Sus scrofa: one gene and its partners. The protein of the gene in region 4 purifies or fractionates together with the protein of the main gene of each other region. This does not show direct contact. Links are inferred from orthologs where the notes say so. Each region holds a gene or a part of one and is shown on either strand. Other genes may lie near its edges.

Region 1 (2,523 bases), on a different chromosome or scaffold from region 4:
CCAAAATATGAAAGATAAAAAGAAGCAACCTAGGTCAACAAGAGGAAATCAGTCCCGGCAGGAGGCACTGACTGTGGAAGTACAAAAGGCATGGCACACACAGCGGGTGAGAAGACCTGGCCAGGGGTGCACTGGGAGCAAGGAAGCCAGCAGCAGGAGTTCGGACTGGCTGGGCACAGCTCACAGAAAGCCCGTGTGCAGCCCTTCCACATAGCAAATACCCCTGAAGTATTATAACCAGAGGAATAAAAAGAAAGAAGCATGACTCAGTAAATTCATGGTAGAGATAGTGCAAAGGACAGATGGGAGAAAAAGACTAGAGAACTACTGAGTCTAGACTCTAGAAGGCCAAAATGTGAGTAACAGCAATGGGCAGAGAGATTTACAAGGGAAAGTTGACAACAATCTGGTGCCTGGTTGGCTTCCGCTGATAAAAAAGAGAAGCATGAAGGTCGACTCCCAGGTTTCTGTCTTGGGCGACTGTGTGAGGCCCAGGACTGCGCCAGGAACCAGGAGGAGAGACAGGTCAGAAAGAAAAGGCCTCCTCTGCCGATATAAATCCTACACTGCCTTCGAAAACACTCTTAAGTTCTATCTTCTCAAAGCCCGTTCTGAACTAATTCTAGCTCACATCTATCTTTCCCTAACTTTGAATTGCCTTGGTATTGAATATATGAAATGAACTTACTTATATTTTACTATAAAATCATCACTTAGTTGTTTTACGGAGCAATACTTTGCCCCATGCAACTTAGCACAGTTGCAGGAGACCCTTAATAACCAACTGTGGAATTACACTACTTCATTAGCTATGAAGATGTCTTGAGAAAATATCTGAAAGAAAAATACTCATTTTGCTAAACTGAATTTGCTGTTTTCACATTTTCCCACTTCAAATTCAGATCAGTCTATCTGTAAATTTATTTATTAGTTCTAAATATGTCATTTACCACTCTCATAAAATCTGCAACTTAACAGTAGTCTAAGAATAAGAACATTATTGGAGTTCCCCTTGTGGCTCAATGGTTAATGAACCTGACTAGCATCCATGAGGACGTGGGTTCGATCCCTGGCCTTGCTCAGTGGGTTGAGGATCTGTCGTTACGTGAGCTGTGGTGTGGGCTGCAGAAGCAGCTGTGACTGTGCACTGCTGTGGTGTAGGCCGGCAGCTGCAGCTATGACTCAGCCCCTAGCCTGGGAACCTTCATATGCCACGGATGTGGCACTAAAAACACAAAAGACAAAAAAAAAAAGAACATTCTTCTCACTAAAGCAATGCAGGTAAGAATGTTAAAAACATCTTTCTTCCTTCCTCCCTTTGCCCTTTTTTTTTCTTTTTTTTTTTTCTTTTTTTTTGAGAAAGGATACTGACTTCCGTTGTAGTAAATTGATCTCGAAGAAAGTCGAGGTCTTCCTCAAGAGAATCAAGGTTCTTTGTGGCAGTTGACAAATTCTTTTCCAACAATGCCTGAGCTTCATCGATATCATATTCAAGCATTACATTAGCCTGAAGAAAGAAAATCATGACAATTAATAAACATTCACCTGGTCTTTATACATTAAAGCAGGGGCTGGCAAACTACTGCCCTTGAGTCAAATCCAGCCAGAGGCCCTTCGTCCTAAGTTTTACTGAAACCCGGCTAGTCTTTTTTTTTTTTAACGGCCACACCTGCAGAATATGGAAGTTCACAGCAATGTAGGATCCAAGCTGCATCTGCAACCTACGCTGCAGATGGCGGCACCTTGCAGCATCACCAGATCCTTAACCCACTTGAGCAAGGGCAGGGATCAAATCCGCATCCTCATGGATACTAGCCGGGTTCTTAACTCACTGAGCCACAGTGAGAACTCCTGAAACCCAGCTGTTCATTATTCACTTACACTTTCATGCCATGGTGGCAGAGCTAAACACAAGTTGTAACAGAGACTGCATGGTCTGCAAAAACCGAAAATATTTACTCTCTGGCCTTTTACAGAAAGTTTATTGACTCCCTGGGCTAGAGAATATATTTACTTCTCATAAACCCTAGTGAGGCAAGTTATCTTCTTCATAGCTAAGGAAACAGGCTCTGGGAAATCAGGTTACTTATTCTTTTGCTTATGGAATAAATAAATAGAAGAATAAGGATAAGAATCACTATCTTTAGTTACCAAATACTATCTTATCTACTAAGTCCATCGTGACACTATTTATAGTATTACATCTGAATCAATGTAAATAGTCATTTCTGAGCTGAAGATACAATAATTTAAAAGTTTTCAAAGGTAGACCATTATCTATATTTGATCCATTAAGACAAACAGCTAGCTTTTATCGCCCCCTCCCCACCTCCCACGCCAGCCACTAGGGGTGAAGGCAAGATGACTAAGTCTGGAATTCTGAGGATCCAGAGTGACCACATGCACACTGAAGGGGGCGAACCACACCTTTCCCAGGTCTGAGCTCTTCTAATCTGACTTCCTCCTGGGTATTTCTTGAATCCCTCTCCCCATCTGACAAATGGAATTTAAAAATTACTCAAA
Region 2 (4,246 bases), on a different chromosome or scaffold from region 4:
ATTTCCACATGCCTTAGGCATGGCCAAAAAAAAAAAAAAATCCCAGTGTAATTTACAGCTGACCCTCCATATAGCAGTTCCTCTGTATCCTTGGTTCTACATCTGGATTTCAACCAATCACACAGTGTGTGGTACTGTAGTAATACCTTTAAAAATCTATGTACAATTGGATCCCCGCAGTTTAAACCTGTGTTGTTCAAGGGTCAACTGTTTTGAATTTACCCAGTCCTCAAAAGATGCTGTCTATTTGAAGCAGCAGAACAAAGACATGGTAAATAATAAACATATCAAGTAGCAGGTACCCAAGGAGTAATATAGGCACTAAATGCAACAGTCAGCGGATGAAACCCAGAGATCCAAAACAAGAACCATAAATGTAACTACTCACTACATTTATATTTTACAACTAGTTTTCAAAGCACTTTCCCACATTTTTTGAACTATTAATATGTAAATATTAATATGAGAACACTAATAGATGTAATAATAAATACCTCATTTACTCTTCTCAACAATCCTGAGTTAGGGCAAGCAGTTTCATCACCACAGCTTATAAATTAAGTAACTAAATGTTTGAAAGAGATATAAATGACTTGCACATGGTTGAACAACTAAGAGGTCTAAAAGTGAGCTCTTAAGTCCATTTCTTGACTTCTAGTTCAAAAACCTTTCCGTTCTGCTGTCTATAGTAATATTCAGAAAATGCATATTTTAAGAGAAGGACAAAAAAGAAAATATTTGAAACACTGGAAGAAGAATTATATCATGACAGAGGCACACACCAAGCCAAATCTGACCCTTGGGTACCCTTAACTCAAAAAGCTCCTAGGTACTCTTGTTGAAGAGCCTAGAATGACTTTCACATCCTGTCAAATTTATGCCTTAATACTTGAATAATAATTTTTGTGGCTGCAATGCATGGCAAAAGCTGCTATTTAACTTCTACTCTGGCTTTGTTCTCACCTACTAGTAAGGTTTCAAAATTTTGTTTAGAGTTAGAGGAGGTGCCTAAAATGTCCTACTTGTCTCCACTCAAAAAAAAAAAAAAAGACCCGAGCTCCCACTGTGGCGCAACGGGACCAGTGGAGTCTTGGGAGCCACTGGGATGAGGGTTCAAACCCCACCGGCACAGTGGATTAGGGATCCAGCATTGCTGCAGCTGCAGCTGAGGTCGCAGCTGTAACTCCAATCTGATCCCTCGCCTAGGAGCTCCATATGCTGTGGGGTGGCCAAAAATGACCAAAAAAAAAGACATTATAAAGACATTAGAATATCCTTAAACAAGTTTTTTTGAGTTAATTTCACTGGTTGTCAAAGCTACCCAATTCAAGTCTGTACTCATTTAAGTCTATAATCGTTTAAGTCTGTAATCAATTTGTCTGCAATCAATTTAAGTCCGTAACATTTTCTTAGTTTGCATTCATTGCCCACAGGTTTCCTAGCAACAAATTCAAATAATACTGAGGTAAACCCATTCACAGCTGTACTCTATTGTTGGCTCTTTCACTAAACCCTGACTTAATTTGAACAGAAAAAAAAAAAAAGGAGGGGGGCTTTTAGGATGCTTTACGACACAGTTTGCTAAGGAACCTAGTATATTGTTAAAGCTAAGATGGGACAGCATTAGAGACCACGTAAAGACTAAAGATACAAGTTTCGAAACAAAAATGGCAAAAAGGACATACACAAATCCTCAGAGCAATAGTAAACAGCTTTGCTTATTGGGTGCAAAAGCTATTTCACCTGCCCTATGTCTGACACAAAGGTTGACCGGAATGGTTTTAGTACAAGATGCCCTTCTGAAGTACCTAAACTAATGGCCAAAAGGCGGGAAGGCAGAAAATATTGGATTCTGATCCTAACCATGGCCTGAGTCTTTTCTGTAACTGTTTTTATTTCTAGAAAAGTAAAAGTTTAGAGCAGATGAAGTCTAAGATCCTTTCCAATCCCCAACCCATCCCCCTCTCAAAAAAAAAAAAAAAAAAAGATATGCTTTTGAGTTGGTAGCGGTGTCACAATCCTGACAATTCTTTAAGTGGCAAAAACGTCTCTGAGTAACAACACATTTACAGGCAACTATGGGAAGGGAGAAACCCAATTCCTTCTGATACCGATTCCATTTAGAAAACTTTCACTAGACTTTGCTTCTTTTTTGACAAACCCTTTAAAAGGGGAGGGGTGGAGGGGCTAGGGAGGGAGCCAAACAGTGCTGAGAATATCTGATTTAAGAGTATGTCGCGACCTTAGAGGTACGGGATTGAAGAAGTGGCCTAAAAACACAGGTTGGACCTGGAGTTTGTCAAAGCAAATTAGGATGCAGAATTACGGATGCCTCAGCTCGGGCAAGCTGTCTCAAGGGGCTCCAACTTGAAACGCTCACTTCAGGCCTTACAATAGGACTGAAGGCTCCAAGAACAAGGAAAGGGCTCTGGAGCCCGGAACAAGGGACTCAAAACAGCTATCGGCCCGCCAGACTTAACCAGCCCCAGCCCTACCAGCTCTCTTCCAGCAAAGAGCTGCTCGCCCCGACTCCAGCCTAAGGCGACCCAGTCCCGCCTGAAGGACTCTGGGAAAGCATTCCCCAATGCCCTGGGACCTTCTTCCCTCCGCGGGACTTGGGTCTCACTCGATATTCTTGTCTACGGTCCCGTTAGCTTCCAAAGAGAAGCCTGCCTGCTCAAAACCCTCTTTTACCTTCTTCAACTCCAGATCCACGGGAGCCGCCATCTTGATTCCCTCTCTGCGCCTGCGCGCTGGGAGAAGGCCGGAAAGAAGGGTGGGGGAAGGGCGCGCCTTGGCGGATCGTCCCCTTTCCTTCTACGCCTGCGCAGGAGCCGAGCTGCTTGGTTTCCTCCGCTCTCCAGCGCTAGGAATCCCCCCTCCACCCAGAGAACCCTAGATTCCGATTAAAAGCACATGTTTCTCGTGACCTATAGGCTTGGCCTGTTTCTCCACATCCTTCCAGACACCGCACCACGCGCAGATTTCGTGCATGGTTTTAAGTATTTTTGACAAATACCTTAGTTTGTGCTGCTAAATTGAGATGTATGTAGATGAGGCCAAAACCTCTTCAGTCAGGGTCCCTGTGCTGTCAGGGAGGACAAAGAATCCCAGGAGTTTGCATCCTGGTGCAGAGGAAACGAATCGGACTAGGAACTATGAGGTTGCAGGTTCGATCCCTGGCCTGGCTCAGAGGGTTAAGGATCCGGTGTTGCCTGAGCTGTGGTGGAGATCACAGACACGACTGGGATGGCTGCTGTGGCTCTGATGCAGGCCGACAGCTACAGCTCTGATTCAACCCCTAGCCTGGGAACCTCCATATGTTGCGGCCCTAAAAAGACAAAAACAAAAAACGAAAATTCAGCCCACGCCTCATACATGCCAATATAGAGAAAACCGGAAGGCTTAGCCGAACTGTTCCTCCAAAGAACTTAGTTATACTGAACACTCATGGAAGACCTTCTTGACACAGTGGTTCTCACAAACCAAATTAGTTTGTTTCAAATATATATATTTTGGAGTTCCCGTCGTGGCGCAGCAGAAACGAATCCGACTAGGAACCATGAGGTTGCGGGTTCGACCCCTGGCCTTGCTCAATGGGTTAAGGATCCGTCGTTGCCGTGAGCTGTGATGTAGGTCGCAGACGTGGCTCGGATCCCGCGTTGCTGTGGCTCTGGCGTAGGCCGGTGGCTACAGCTCCGATTAGACCCCTAGCCTGGGAACCTCCATATGCCAAGGGAGCAGCCCTAGAAAAGGCAAAAAGACAAAAAAATTAATGAATAAAATAAAATATGTATATTTTAAACACGCACACAGAGATTCTCTGGTCCTTATCCCAAACTTAATTACTTAGAATCTTTGAGATCAGGGCCCAGAAATTTGCACCTTTGCAAATGCCCCAAGTGGTCTGCAAACCACATTTTGAGAATCTTATGTAAAATATCTGGCATTTGAACCAGAGGGATGGCTGGTAATTGGACTTTTAGAAATGAAAGAAATGGATGTTTTGCCTAGTCTAAAAACCTGTAAGAGAGAGGAAAGGGCAGGTAATTTAGAACCAGACAGATTCCAAGGTAGCTAAGGTTTGGTCTACCTTGTGCCTAGATATGTCTGGTTCTACTTACTGTGTAGCAATAGAGTTTGTCTCCTTATTTAATATGGAAATAACAATATTATTGAGTTCCCATCATGATTCAGTGCCAATGTACCCAACTCACATCCATGAGGATTAGGGCTCAACCCCTGG
Region 3 (3,298 bases), on a different chromosome or scaffold from region 4:
GAATGTGTAAGAAACAATTTGAGGACAAAGAAACGGAAGAACAACATTGTGGACAACGTATAAACATGGAGGACGTATGATATCAGAGCGTTAGGTGTTGAGATTTTAAATCAGTTTAAGCTACATTCAAGCAAATTCTAAGAAAAAAAGACTAAAACGAATTAGAGGGATGCCAGGGCTATTTTGAAGATGATGGGAAATCAGCAGGGAGGGTCCCCATGTTTCATTCTGGGGTCACAGCTTAGAAAATTCTGAGTTCAATTAAACTCACTTTACCCAAAACCACTGCATTGCAAATGCCCTTCTCATGTTTCCAACCAGGATAATGGAGACCTAAGGGCTGCATATACAGGAAAAATGAGATTTGAGATATTTCATATTTCAGTCTCAATAAAGAAGGCTTACTCGGCCTCAGAGTGCCCAGTTGCAAGAGTCTGGACCTGAGGGAGTCACAGAAGCGATAAACATATAAGGGGAGAAGGGACCAGGGGAAAAGGTGGAGATGATTACAACAGAAGTGGCTGGTGAGAAAACAGCCAGGTGTTTTCACATTTTATTCACTACAGTAGAGACCCTTGAGCTGCCTCATTCCCACCCCCTCCCTCCCCCCTCCACAGGGTCAGGCCTTCCCAGGAGCCCCTGCCTTGGCTGCCTGGGCCCGCTGGAACTCCTGCTGCAGCTGAGCCAGGGTCTCCCTCTGTTGCTCTGACTGGCGCTCCAGTTCCCGGAGTTGGGATTCGTATCGCTTACTGAGGAAGACAGAACACCAAAAACGGTGAGGTCTTAATGAGACTTACTGCTGAGGATGCTGAAGGCAGGAAGGAGATTGGTGGGGAACGTGAGATCCAAGGGAGGGAGGAGAAGAGGGGTTAAAAGGAAAGCGGCTGGAGGAACTGGGTGGTGGTGGTGGTGGGAACAGCTCTGGAAGCTACTCTACAAGGCTTTCTCAACACGTCTTCCACCGTGGCATGTCTGTCAGAAGGTGCTGGAACAAAGACTCACATTTCAGCTGTGATGTAGTCCAGCCTTTTCCCCACTGTGGCTCGAGCCTCTCCCAGCTCCTGTTTGACCAGCACGGGACCCAGAAGTTTAAAGACCACGTTGGATCCATCCAGCAGGGCCAGTTCCTGATGGAGGGGCAGGACATCTGTGATCAGAAACATTGCCAGGACAAGTTCCCTCCTCGCCCCACAAATCCTGTGCTCTCACCTCCTTCACGATATTATTTTCTGTTAGTTGTGCTTCTAGTTTCTGCCTCCCTGACATGGACTTACTCAAGTCTGGCGGGTGGGAGGGAAGACTTGATTAAAGACATCAGATATGCCACCCAATCCCTACCGTCCTGGTGAGAAATGGAGCGACAAGGACGGGAACACCATGGAGGTGGGGAAGGGGCACGGGTGGGATGGAGAGGGGCAGGACGCATCTTGTAAGGCTTCGGGTAGTGAGAGAACCGGGACAACCCCGTTCCCCTACCCTTCTGTAGCTGTTGATATTTCTCCACTTCTCCCTGTAGCTTCTTCTGGATCAGCTCAGCCATGGCGAGGACGAAACTCCGCGGGAAGAGGGAGAGGGGCGCTGGGTTGCACACTCTGGAAGGTACCCGAGCTCCCCTTTCCGGCCTGCGGAAATGACAGCCCTCTTGAGAAGCAGCCCCTCGGGGCACCGCAGTCTCCCCCCGTCCGAGATATCGACTCCACCCCTGCTCTAGGCGGCAGCGGGGGAAAAGAGACCCCAGAGCCCTCAACCGAACGCCTGCTCTATCTACTCACGTTCTTCTTTCAGTGTTGGTGAACCCGGAAGTAAACAGAGAATGCTGGGAAGAGACGGCGCCGGAAGCTCTCGTCTGACGCATGCCGGGAACTGTAGTTCTCACTTGTTAGACGAGTGGCGTTTTTCTAAAAGGCTGGACTCGGAACGTTCTAGGCAACATGCGGAAACGAAGCTGGAAAAAGGAACTGCACAGTCAACTTGAGTCCTGGCTCCGGACCACCTCTCTTTCATTACTCAAGCATAAACTGCCTCACGGGGGCGGGGCCAAGGTCTGCCCCCCACCTCACTGGAGAGAGCGCCCTCACCCAAGATGGCGCCTCGAGGGCTTCGAACCTGGGGCGGAGCTGATTGGATGAGGGCCGGAAGACTTCCGGGAGTTTTCAATCCGACTGTGGGACAGCTGAGAGGAGTTTGCACGTGTGTCGCGGTTCGGGTGGGCTTGATGGAGACAGCCCCCAAGCCTGGCAGTGATGTCCCGCCCAAGAAGGACAGACTTCAGGCCAAGAGAAAGGTAGAGACCTCCTTGGGTTGAAAGGAAAGTTTTTGGCTGAGGGGTTGGAGGGGCGGGGAGGAGGCAGCGGAATATCAGGGGTCCTGATCTGCCAGCAGAAACCTCGGCGATACTGGGAGGAAGAGACCGCTCCGACAGCTGCCGGAGCCTCTCCGGGTCCCCCTCGTAAACAGAAGAAGAATCGAGAGGCCCGCCCTCAGAAGCCAAAGAACGCTCCCATCCAAAAGAAGTCTCGGTTCCCCAAGAAGCCCCAGGTCCCAAAGAAATCCCAAGAATGGAGGAGTCCAGGCCCTCAGCGGAGCTTGTCTGGGGTGAGCCTGGGACCTTATACGGTGGCGAGGCAAGTCTCCTCGTGCTTTGAGGGTACGAGAGTTGGGATCAACCCGAGCCTGTTTACTAATTGCCCCATTCCTGTCCCAGGCCCAGGACCCGTTTGCAGGCCCCGCCCCTGTCCCTGTGGAGGTAGTTCGAAAGTTCCGTCGCATCGACAAATCCAAAAAGGTGAGAACCGGTCGGAGAGTGGGGAGGAGTTGCAGGCAGGGAGTGTCTGGGTGAGCTGGATGGAGGCGCGGTCAGGTGGCTCTCCTGTAACCCCCATACTCGCCCATTCCTCTCCCACCAATGATTGTAGCTGCCCCGTTCCAAGTCCAAAGCCCAAAGCCGGCTTGATGCTGCTGAAGCTGAGGAAGAGGAAATAAGCGTCAAAGCTGCTCGTTCTGAGCTGCTGCTGGCTGAGGAACCTGGGTAAGTGGACCGTAATGTGGGCCTCCCCAGCTCCTGGTTTATGAGGCTCTCATTTCTCACTTTTATGTTGATACACTGACTTCACATCGGAAAGCTGAATGCAACCCTGACATTCACTGGCAGGTTTCTGGAAGGTGAGGATGGGGAGGACACAGCAAGGATACGCCAGGCTGACATCGCAGAGGCTGTGGATATTGCAAGTGCAGCCAAGGTGAGCCTGAGGGTGTAAAAGGATCCAGCGGGCTGACTGGGGTGCAGAGCAGGATGGAA
Region 4 (4,057 bases):
CAAAAACACAGATGGGATTTCCTTTCTCTAAATTTCTCAAGCACTGAACCCAGGAATCTAGAAATAGCGGATATGTGATGCACAGCATCTAAAGAATAATACATCAAGACACCAAAGAGAAAACCATGGTTTTAATCCAACAAAGGGGACACCCGCCATGGTTCACGCTGCAATTCATGTTCTTGATTATTATGGAGGTAGAAATGGTGAAGAGGTGCCCAAGGCCAAGCTTACCCTGTTTCATGGCATGCTTCTCCTGCAGAGCTGGCTGGATTTTCTCCATTTGCTTGGTGAGGAAGTCTATCTTCCTCTTGAAGAAGTCCTTGGCATCTTCAGCTGTCTGGAAGGTCAGAGGTGAAGGAGGGGCTAAGAGGAGACCTCTTTGTGCACTCTGGATCTCTCCCTAAACTCCCTCTGCCTCCTCAGCGGGGCATCCATACGCTTCCTTCCACTCACCTTCTCTACATAGTAGCCAGTTCCCACATCGATGAGCACATGTTCCACATCATGCAACTTCCCAGGGACGTACATCTGAGAAGCGAGGATTAAGGGAAAACTAGCCCAGCATGAGTCCTGATTTCCTGTCGGCTCATCTGCTTGACCTCCTAAGAACCCCTTTTTCTAAAAACTTAAAAGGTACCGGGATCAGATAATCTGGAGGCCTACACACTCCAAAGGGGAGACACAGGGAAGTTGGTTCCTTATGGAGAAAATTACACATGCTGATCTTGCCCTGATCTCACTGCCACCCTCCAAGAAGTTCTTAGAGTTCTTCCCATTAGCCCTTCCAGAAAGACTAGATGGCTTTTTTTATTGTCTTTTTTAGGGCTGCACCCGCGGCATATGGAGGTTCCCAGGCTAGGGGTCAAATCGGAGCTGTAGCCACCGGCCTATGCCAGAGCCACAGCAACGCGGGATCCGAGCCGGGTCTGCAACCTACACCACAGCTCACGGCCACGCCGAATCCTTAACCCACTGAGCAAGGCCAGGGATCAAATCCGCAACCTCATGGTTCCTAGTCGGATTCATCAACCACTGAGTCATGATGGGAACTCCATAAAGACTAGATGCAGTGTTTCTTTTTTCTTTTTAGGGCCACACCTGCAGCATATGGAAGATCCTAGGCTAGGGGTTGATTCGGAGCTGCAGCTGCCAGCCTACACCACAGCTCACGGCAACACCAGATCCCCAACCCAGCGAGGGAGGCCAGGGTTAGTAGTGGATTGTTTCTGCTGCGCCACAATGGGAACTCCTGGAATGATTTTTCCTGATGCTGTTAAATAGTAAAAGTGAAAAGCCAGCCTCATTTCTCCTTTAACACTCCCAACCATGAAGTAGGTCATTCCCAATAGATTTAATGTTCCTTATCTAAGCAGTCCCTACTATGCGGCTATTCCTGTGTTTCTTTTTCAGCCTATCAATTCTCAGGTGCAGTTTATAGGTGCCCTGTTAACACAATTGGCTCATTCAAGTAAAACACTCAACAGATAGACACAATCCAGGCTTCTCAGTAACAACGGATTAGAAATAAGATCCACAATTAAACTAAAATTGAAGATTAATAAACAGAGCCAACCCCCTTGTCTCTATATCCTCTCTTCTTCCACTGCTTCTGTTTTCTAAGTTATTAGTAAAAAGGGTAGGGAGCTCCTGCTGCGGTGCAGCAGGTTAAAGACCCAGTGTTGTCTCTGAGGTGGCTCAGATTCAATCCCTGGCCCCGGAACTTCCACATGCTGCGGGTGAGGCAAAAGAACCCAAAAAACAAGTCAAAAGTGTAAACCACCAGTTTTATCTCCCTATTAGATTATATCCTCAAACAGCGAAGGAAAAAAATCACACCTCAATTCTACATACACCTTGGTGCTCACCAAACATTAGCTGGATGTTGGCTCCAATGAGATAGCAGAGCTACGAAGTGTGTACTGAGTATTCTCAGAATCTCTGGAGCAATTAGAACCTCTGCCCTTTTTTGCAGGGTAGGGGGTGAAGGAGAAAAGGAGTGGGCGGGGAAACAGTTCCTGCAGAAAGGATACAGAACTCGTCAGTGGGACGAGTAATTCTTTCCCTGTGAAAGCAATTAAGACAGACATGTAGGGAAGGTGGACTTCTCCAGCCTTTACACGTTCAAGGGAGTTTCAGCACCGCACAGCGCCCAGAGACTGTGCGATAAGTATGGAAATAGGGGCAACAGGAGAAGAATGTCCTGTACATTTCAAGTCTACCAAGGCAACATGCAAAGGGCTCCTGCAGCAGTATGCAATACGTAAAGGACCGTTCTCTCGTCTCAGATAAGGACAACTGGATAAGGAAGAGAGAGGAAAAGCCGGCTCGCCCCAACCCCCAGCTTGCCTTCACGCGCCTACCGCATACCCTCGTTGCTCTTGTTCAGCACGTTCAGACAGTCCTTGGCTTCCACATACTTGGTCTGTACCACCTTGAGCTGGGCAATGGACGTGGACAAGAACTCCACTTCCTAGAGAGAAGAGGAATGAGGGTTAGTACGGGGGCTGGTGGGAGAGGAGGGCACCGCCGGGAAGGGGCGGGTGCTGGGACCGAGTCGGGGTTTTGCCTGGGAAGGGAAACCTCCTCCCTCGGCTGGGGAAGAATGGGGAGCGAGGGAGTACGCGTGGCGGGAAGGAAGTGAGGTGGAAAGGGGTGTCTTTGGGGGCCTATTCCCACCTGGTCCAGCTGGTTCTTGAGCATTTCCAGCTGCGGCAGATTCAGCTCGGTAATGTTAACCGACTGCGCCATGTTGGGAAGGAGGACTAACGAAGCGGAAGCCGCCGGGTGAGCAACGCTCTAGCCGTCCTCTGCGCCTCTCGATGGCTACGCCGGGAGGCCTCGCTGCCCCCGACATCTCTATGGTCTTCCGTCCGGGAGCGGAGGAAGAGCTGGGTCTTCTCTGTGATTTACTTGCGTTGGAGTGGAAGAGACAGCGGCGCTTTCTTTTTTAAAGACCGAACTGGAGGCATATGGAGGTTCGTAAGCTGGGGGTCGAACTGGAACTGCAGCTACCGGCTTAAGCCACAGCAGCGCGGGATCCGAGCTGTGTCTGCGACCTACACCACAGCTCACTGCAACGGCCGATTCTTAACCCACTTAAATAAGGACTGGGATCGAGCCCGCAACCTCATGGATACTAGTCCGGTTCCTTATCGCTGAGCCACGATAGGAACTCCCAGGAGCGCTTTCATTACACAAAACATCCCAAGCCTAGCGTCGACAAGTTGCAGCAAACAGGATTCCTGTGAATTTAAGAATCTTTTTTTTTTTTGTCTTTTTGTTGTTGTTGTTGTTGTTATTGTTGTTGTTGTTGCTATTTCTTGGGCCGCTCCCCGCGGCACATGGAGGTTCCCAGGCTAGGGGTTGAATCGGAGCTGTAGCCACCGGCCTACGCCAGAGCCACAGCAACGCGGGATCCGAGCCGCGTCTGCAACCTACACCACAGCTCACGGCAACGCCGGATCGTTAACCCACTGAGCAAGGGCAGGGACCGAACCCGCAACCTCACGGTTCCTAGTCGGATTCGTTAACCACTGCGCCACGACGGGAACTCCTGAATTTAAGAATCTTAAAAAGAGTTCCCGTCGTGGCTCAGCAGAAACGAGTCTGGCTAGCATCTATGAGGACGCTGGTTCGCTCCCTGGTCTCGCTCAGCGGGTTAAAGATCCAGCATTGCCTGTGAGCTGTGGTGTAGGTCTCAGACGCGGCTGGGATCCCACGTTACTGTGGCTGTGGTCCGCAGCTACAGCTCCAATTTGACCCTTAGCCTGGGAACCTCCAAATGCTGCGGGTGCGCCCCCAAAAAGACCAAAAAAAAAAAAAAGTAAACCATGTGGGTGATATAAACCCTAGTGACAACTGGCAAGGAAGGAAGAAGCTTGTTAAGTTCTCTGGTCGTAAAAGGAGGCTTTGGGCAGATGAAGCGGGACTAGAGATGGAGTGGAGATGAGTGGGTGGAGAGAACACAAAGGAGGTACCTCATCAACCAACAAACACAGCAACAGGTTTGTTACTCAATAGTGTTACCATGTGCTAGAAGTGAGGAATACTGCTA

The links.
Region 1: the proteins of PFDN5 (region 4) and VBP1 purify together in Homo sapiens (affinity purification with mass spectrometry; 7 studies listed by BioGRID and IntAct, counting the BioPlex papers as one, with this or other methods). This does not show direct contact. The link is inferred for Sus scrofa from reciprocal best matches to the Homo sapiens genes PFDN5 and VBP1.
Region 2: the proteins of PFDN5 (region 4) and PFDN1 purify together in Homo sapiens (affinity purification with mass spectrometry; 7 studies listed by BioGRID and IntAct, with this or other methods). This does not show direct contact. The link is inferred for Sus scrofa from reciprocal best matches to the Homo sapiens genes PFDN5 and PFDN1.
Region 3: the proteins of PFDN5 (region 4) and PFDN6 purify together in Homo sapiens (affinity purification with mass spectrometry; 5 studies listed by BioGRID and IntAct, with this or other methods). This does not show direct contact. The link is inferred for Sus scrofa from reciprocal best matches to the Homo sapiens genes PFDN5 and PFDN6.

What each region holds. Positions count from the first base shown.
Region 1 is NC_010461.5:125,502,326-125,504,848, reverse strand, and holds part of VBP1 (prefoldin subunit 3), read right to left. Parts: intron 1,508-2,523; coding exon 1,369-1,507; intron 1-1,368. UniProt on the Homo sapiens protein: Binds specifically to cytosolic chaperonin (c-CPN) and transfers target proteins to it. Binds to nascent polypeptide chain and promotes folding in an environment in which there are many competing pathways for nonnative proteins.
Region 2 is NC_010444.4:142,075,158-142,079,403, forward strand, and holds the start of PFDN1 (prefoldin subunit 1), read right to left. Parts: upstream 2,844-4,246; 5' UTR 2,728-2,843; coding exon 2,695-2,727; intron 1-2,694. UniProt on the Homo sapiens protein: Binds specifically to cytosolic chaperonin (c-CPN) and transfers target proteins to it. Binds to nascent polypeptide chain and promotes folding in an environment in which there are many competing pathways for nonnative proteins.
Region 3 is NC_010449.5:29,652,166-29,655,463, reverse strand, and holds PFDN6 (prefoldin subunit 6), read right to left. Parts: upstream 1,773-3,298; intron 1,766-1,772; exon of another isoform or gene 1,623-1,765; coding exon of another isoform or gene 1,541-1,622; coding exon 1,477-1,540; intron 1,281-1,476; coding exon 1,210-1,280; intron 1,128-1,209; coding exon 1,003-1,127; intron 750-1,002; coding exon 620-749; 3' UTR 519-619; downstream 1-518. Other genes in the region: WDR46 (WD repeat-containing protein 46), read left to right, coding at 2,084-2,284, 2,380-2,595, 2,705-2,785, 2,916-3,028, 3,152-3,239. UniProt on the Homo sapiens protein: Binds specifically to cytosolic chaperonin (c-CPN) and transfers target proteins to it. Binds to nascent polypeptide chain and promotes folding in an environment in which there are many competing pathways for nonnative proteins.
Region 4 is NC_010447.5:18,511,413-18,515,469, reverse strand, and holds the start of PFDN5 (prefoldin subunit 5), read right to left. Parts: upstream 2,834-4,057; 5' UTR 2,752-2,833; coding exon 2,680-2,751; intron 2,474-2,679; coding exon 2,371-2,473; intron 2,066-2,370; coding exon 2,034-2,065; intron 532-2,033; coding exon 457-531; intron 341-456; coding exon 235-340; intron 1-234. UniProt on the Homo sapiens protein: Binds specifically to cytosolic chaperonin (c-CPN) and transfers target proteins to it. Binds to nascent polypeptide chain and promotes folding in an environment in which there are many competing pathways for nonnative proteins.